Cricetulus griseus: one gene and its partner. The protein of the gene in region 2 interacts with the protein of the main gene of each other region in a biochemical or structural test. Links are inferred from orthologs where the notes say so. Each region holds a gene or a part of one and is shown on either strand. Other genes may lie near its edges.

Region 1 (3,803 bases), on a different chromosome or scaffold from region 2:
ATTTCAAGCCAGGGCTACCTAGTGAGGCCATCTTAAAAAGGAAATGTACTGCTCAGTTGTGAAGAAATACACTAGTTCTTTCTTTGAGTCACAGTGAAGCTTGCAAAGGGGGTTGCCTTTGAGCACTGTGGACTTTGAGGGGTGGGGACTGGTCTAAGAAAATGCCACTTGGGGCAGACTGAGCCTGTCTGGTTTGCTCTCACTGTTGTGTGGGTCACAGCATTCCCAGTCAGAAAAGCCGTCAGCATTCTTACTATGTCAGACCTCAGGAAGTTTGCTTCTGCTGTGCCCCAAGAAGCTGTTCTAACACGGATCCCTCTTCCAGGTGTGCGAAGTCTATAAGCTTCACAGGGAGACATTCTATCTGGCGCAAGACTTCTTTGATCGTTACATGGCATCACAACAAAATATACTGAAAACACTTTTACAGCTCATTGGGATTTCAGCTTTATTTATTGCTTCTAAACTTGAGGTAAACTCACTATCCTTATTTATGTAACAAGCCTTATTTCTTCAGTTCTGCCAACTATTGGTCATATGTATCATGAATCCTAACTCAGAGGCTTCTAAAGTTAAGGTACATGTTGGGAGGACAGACATGAACCAGCCAAGAATAAAGACAAGGAGAAAGTGCATAGACCATTTAGATTAGATTGATATTTGAACTTGGAACTGAAAAGATTGAAATTTGGGCATAGTGGTTCCCACCTGAACTCCTAGCACTTGGACAGCTGAGGTAGAACAATGGGGACTTTGAGGCCCGCATGGCTAGATGGTTATATAGAGTGAGCAACAACTTTAAGGTTCTGTTTATTCATGAGTCCATTTATTTGTGGAGCACCCCGCCCCCCATAATGTGTTTGGGGTTAATGAAGTGAACCTGTGTGAAGCCTTTCAGTAATCCTCTTTCCATGTCAGTCAGCATGCTAGAATCATTTTGGATGCACGTCCTAAACTCAAACTGCCAGGAACGGATTCTCTCTAATAGCATCTTCCTTCTGTTCCCTTTTAGGAAATCTACCCTCCAAAGTTGCACCAGTTTGCTTACGTTACAGATGGCGCTTGTTCCGGAGATGAAATTCTCCAGATGGAATTAATGATGATGAAGGCAGGTTACACATTAATACCTCTGTCTCTCTCTGTGTGTGTGTAAGAGAGAGACTTCAACTAAGTGTGTACACCTATCTTTCTCATTCAGGGTGTGGGTGCACCCAGTGGGTCTTCTCCAGCTAGGCATGTGGTGGCGGGGACTAAGGCTGCATCTTTTGGACTTTTCACAACTATCATCCATTCATCTCTTTCCCCTTAGGCCCTTAAGTGGCGTTTAAGCCCAATGACCATTGTGTCCTGGCTGAACGTGTATGTCCAAGTGGCTTATGTCAATGACACAAGCGAGGTGCTACTGCCTCAGTACCCACAGCAGGTCTTTGTGCAGATTGCTGAGGTAGGTGGACTTTGTGCTGAGAGAGAGAGAGAGAGAGGGAGAGAGAGGGGGGGTGGGGGGAGAGAGAGGGAGGGAGAGGGGGGAGAGAGAGAGAAAGAGGGGGGGAGGGAGGGAGGGAGGGAGGGAGGGAGGGAGAGAGTGTTGGGGGGAGGCGTGTACACCCCAGCTCACCAGGGGCTTCTAGAAGCTCTGTGTGGCATCTGTCTAAGCATCCCTGTCTTCCCTTAGCTTTTAGATCTGTGTGTCCTGGATGTCGGCTGCTTAGAATTTCCTTATGGTGTCCTTGCTGCTTCTGCCTTGTATCATTTCTCCTCCATGGAACTGATGCAGAAGGTTTCAGGTATGTCGCTTTTTCCTGCGAGTTCACAGACGAGGTGTCTACACACACAGACCCGCTGTGAGCTGCAGACTGAGCCTCTAACTAACCTCTTTACTGGCAGGGTATCAGTGGTGCGACATAGAGAAATGTGTCAAGTGGATGGTTCCGTTCGCCATGGCCTTCCGGGAGGTGGGAAGCTCCAAGCTCAAGCACTTCCGGGGAGTTCCCATGGAAAACGCCCACAACATCCAGACCCACGCCAACAGCTTGGATTTGCTGGTCAGTGACGCCCTCGCTCCCGTCAGACAAGTGCTTAACCCATCTTGCCCGAACAACCTCGCTTTTCTTAAGGCAGGCCCCAGGGAGCCCAGGAAAAGCTAGTTCTCCTAGTCGCATATGAATGTTTCTGGTCCTCTGTCTGGGTACCTGCAGACCCTAGACTTGAGGTGGTAGGGACAAGGTCTTACTAGATAGTCCAGGCTGACCTAAAACTCAAGTCTTTGGTCTCTGCTCCCAAGTGGTAGGATTTACAAGTCTGCCACCATGCCTAACTTTAGATTAGTTTTTACTTTTGTTATTTCTCCCTCTGGCCTCCATAGTAAAAGTGCCCATCAAGTGAAACAACGCTTTATATTGACAACTATTCCTTTTATTCCATGTAGGACAAAGCCCAGGCAAAGAAAGCCATATTGTCAGAACAGAACAGGATCTCTCCTCCTCCCAGTGGGGTCCTGACACCCCCACCCAGCAGTAAGAAGCAGAACAGTGAGGAGGAGACAGAATGAGCAAACCTGCCAAAGACAGTGTTGTGGAAGCGGCTGCCTGGAGCTCCTTTGCTGCCTAGGAGGTTGGGAGCCCCTGCTGATGCTCTGCGGAAAGGCGTATCTCTTCCAGAGCAGCGGGCGTCTTCAAAATGGCCTCGGACAGAAGTGCTTGTATGGAATGCTAGTTGTTTTAACAATAGGGTTGAGGACACCAGCCACCTCCAGAACGCCGCTGAGTGCTCCAGAAGCTGCTAAGGAGGGTGCTACTTGACCCACTGGACTCTTCACACATGACAAAAGCTTGAAATTAAGGAGGCCACGGTTGCTGCTGGCCTCTGCCCGGGTGTTTGGGGTTGCTGTTGTGTTGGGTGGGACAGGTGGTTGTGAGCAAGCATGGGATGCCGAGCCCACAGCCTGGGCCAGGCCGACCGTTTCCACTGTCAGCTGACAGCATGTCCTGCCTTTCATGAACTCTTGGTTTGTAAGTGCTGCTATGTCTATCCATTTTTAATAAAGAGAATACTATCTTTGAAGCAGCTGTCTTTACTGGAACAAGCTAGAAGTTGCCTTTCAGAATGGCTCTACCAGTTCTCTTGGCTTCTTGTTTTTCTCTCTCTCCAAGACAGGGTTCTCTGTGACTTTGGAGACTGTCCTGGCACTCTCTTATAGACCAGGCTGGTCTCGAACTCAGAGATCCTCCTGCCTCCCGAGTGCTGGGATTAAAGGGGTGCTCCACCAATGCCTGGCTGCCCTCATAATTTTTGAGACAGTCTTAAAGTGCAACCCATGCTGGCCTAGAGCTGGCTGTGTAGCCTAGACTTCTGCAACTCTTCTCCCACAATACCCTGGGCTAGGTGCTATTCACACCAGAGTCGTCAGCAGGGGTAGGCTCTGCTAGTGAAGCCATTCCATACCCCAGGAATTTCATTAATGTAATCTCTCCATGGTGGCCTACATTTGTAATCCTAGCACTGAGGATACTGAGGCAGGAGAGAGATCAAAACAGCCTGGGCTACATAAAAAGACCCTATGTTACACAAAGAAGCAGTTATGTTTTGTGGTTTGTTTGATACCTGGTCTCACTGTGTAACCCTTGCTGGCCCCAACCTTCCTGCCCTAGCCTCTAGTGCCAGGATTGCAGCTGTATACCATCACACCTTGCGTGGAGCTGGCCAAATGGTGGTACTGTCATAGCAAATCCATCATCTGTGCTAACGAAAAACAATTCCGAATGAATAGAATCTATAATATAATTCCTTGTGGCTCCATCATAAAA
Region 2 (2,758 bases):
AGTGTAAGTGACTTGAAATTTGGACACCCCTGGGACACTTGGACACGGCCTGATTGGCACATGGCATTCGAAGAGATGTCTGAGCTGGAGTGTAGCTGCTTCAGCACCTTGTACATATACTCTACTTATGGCTACGATTACACTAATGGTCCTTCTGCGACTGCGTCACCGCCTTCTTAAAAACTCCTTCCGGTAAGGAGCTGACTTCGAGGGCCCTAATACTAGGAAGAAAAGGCAACTTGATAAAGTGAAGGGTGCAGGGTAGTCTCTACACTAGCTGTAAATGAGTTGCGGCAATTGAGTGGAGTGACTCTCCAAACGTCATCGACTGGCTGTCCAATCGAGGCAAGGTTGGTACAAAACCATGATGCAACTGGGTTAGGAAATACGATTATGTACAGCCAATCAATTCGGCCTCTTTTCGCGCCGCGCGTTGATTTTTCAGTTATGAAAAGCTAACTGCAGTCTAAGTGAACTCTGGAGAGCTACATTCCTGACGAACAATGTGTTCACAGAACAGAGGGTAAAGATAGACGCGCGCAAAGGACAAGACCTACTAGTCCGGGATGGGAGTGGGAGGATTAGCCGGGGGGGGGGGGGGGAGCGCGCACAGTGAGGAAAAAGGCGGGTGCCCGCGTGGACATGGCAACTACTCAGCAGTACGTGAGGGCAGGAGTACTCCGTGCTAGTGTTACCTGAATTCCACTGTGGCACCCAGATGGTTCAGGTAGTTGGCGGGACTTAGAGGGTTAGGTCAGTGTACAGCTACATTCACCGAGCTCTCTGGGTGGCTCTGAAAAGAGCCTTTGGGGCTTGGTTGCTATTAGAAGCAAACCTACTTCTTTTTAGAAACAGCCTTCTTCGCCTTAGCAGCTTTAGGCTTAGCTGTCTTAGGCTTGGCAACTTTAGGCTTGGCTGCCTTTGGCTTCACAGCCTTGGGCTTTGCCGGGCTCTTGGCTGCCTTCTTAGGCTTAGCTGCCTTGGCCTTCTTAGGGCTCTTGGCCACTTTCTTCACTCCAGCGGCCGCAGGCTTCTTTGCTTTCTTTGGAGTTTTCTTCACGGTCTTCTTGGCCCCCGCAGCCTTCTTAGGCTTTTTCGGGGTGGAACCTGAAGGCTTCTTAGCCTTGGCGGCGCCTGCCTTCTTGGCTTTGGGCTTGGCCTCGCCGGAAGCCGCCTTCTTGTTGAGCTTGAAGGAGCCGGAGGCGCCGGTGCCCTTGGTCTGCACCAGGGTGCCCTTGCTCACCAGGCTCTTGAGCCCCAGCTTGATGCGGCTGTTGTTCTTCTCCACGTCGTAGCCACCTGCAGCCAAAGCCTTCTTGAGCGCGGCCAGGGACACGCCACTGCGCTCCTTAGAGGCAGACACAGCCTTGGTGATGAGCTCGGACACCGGGGGACCGGTGGCCTTGCGCTTCGTTGCGCCAGCCTTTTTGGTCGCCTTCTTCTTTGCGGGAGACTTCTCCACAGGAGCCGGAGCAGCAGTTTCGGCAGGAGCAGTTTCAGACATGGCGAGATTGTAAGCTACAATAAAAGCAAAGGAAAACTAACTCAAAGAGCAAATTTTGCTGTGCTCCTTAGCTCCGACTCCGGGCTTATATAAGCCAGAGCTGCGCTGTGATTGGTGGAGCGTCCAATCCACCGCCCTTTGGCCGCGCGAAACAAGGTTAGAATCCCAAATTGTGTTTGTTAGTCCCCAAATTTTTACTTACTACTGAAAATAAGGGCGCAGAAATTGGCAGTTTGGTGTTCCAAAGGAGAACAGCCTTCGGGTTCACATACCTATGTGTGCTTTTTTTGAATCACAATCAACAGACTAAAGATATTTTTTTTTAAATCCCTCCAGTGTTTCAGAAGAATCCTCAAAGGAGAGGACATCCTGATAGTTACTTGCATATTTCCATAAACGTATACGAAGTATGCAAGGAACATTACTTAAAAGGATTTGTCCACAAGTCCCGCCTTTAATTTTTGCAAGAGTAAAAGAAATATCTTTTTTGGTTTGGTCACAAACTTTGTTTCTGACTGTAGCAAATAACACAGGTTTGGCTGGCGGCAGACTGAAATTAAACATTTTAGATATTTCTCTTTAAAATAGGTCCGGCTTCTCGTACTTTCTGCACATTGCTATCTTTAATGGAGATTGAAAATTTTTCCATTGTGAAACTTTCTTCTTTGAAGTCGGGAGTTTAGAAATCATTGACTTTAAGAGTTGTGGCAATGGATTGGCAGGTAAGAGCAGCTACTGCTCTTGCAGGTCTGCTTTAGTTTCCCAGCACTCACAGGGCAGCTTGCAACTGTCTGTAACTCCAGCCCCGGAGTATCTCAGGCTTTCTTCTCAATTCTCCGGATTATCAGGCAAGTAAGTGGTGCACATATACACATGGAGACAAAACCTCATACACATAAAGCTTTAAAAAGTAACTCAAATATTTAAAAAGAAGTCACTACCTTCAGAGGCAAACCAATTTACTTCTAAGTCAAAATAAATTAGATATGGATCTGACTTGCTTTTGTTAGTTGCTAATGGTATCTGAAGACAGAAAATACTAACTAAAGATAATTTGCGTGAGGAAAATTTTAAAACTTTCAGGAAATTATTAGAGTGACCCTCCAGTCCTCAAATGTAGTTGGTTGAGATGACCAGTGAGAATTTCAGAACATTTAGCAAGCAGGACAATCAGGCATGCTCTTAAGTAGTCAATGCCAATATGGGTATTTTTTGTATATTGAGATGCCAAGATGGGCAATATTTTAGAATATT

Evidence for each region.
Region 1: of the proteins of H1-5 (region 2) and Ccne1, one has a biochemical effect on the other in vitro, tested with the Homo sapiens proteins (4 studies listed by BioGRID). The link is inferred for Cricetulus griseus from reciprocal best matches to the Homo sapiens genes H1-5 and CCNE1.

Annotation. Positions count from the first base shown.
Region 1 is NC_048602.1:242,013-245,815, forward strand, and holds the end of Ccne1 (G1/S-specific cyclin-E1), read left to right. Parts: intron 1-325; coding exon 326-472; intron 473-1,012; coding exon 1,013-1,108; intron 1,109-1,309; coding exon 1,310-1,444; intron 1,445-1,672; coding exon 1,673-1,784; intron 1,785-1,884; coding exon 1,885-2,042; intron 2,043-2,425; coding exon 2,426-2,548; 3' UTR 2,549-3,060; downstream 3,061-3,803. UniProt on the Homo sapiens protein: Essential for the control of the cell cycle at the G1/S (start) transition.
Region 2 is NC_048596.1:244,135,762-244,138,519, forward strand, and holds H1-5 (histone H1.5), read right to left. Parts: upstream 1,577-2,758; 5' UTR 1,505-1,576; coding exon 836-1,504; 3' UTR 775-835; downstream 1-774. UniProt on the Homo sapiens protein: Histone H1 protein binds to linker DNA between nucleosomes forming the macromolecular structure known as the chromatin fiber. Histones H1 are necessary for the condensation of nucleosome chains into higher-order structured fibers.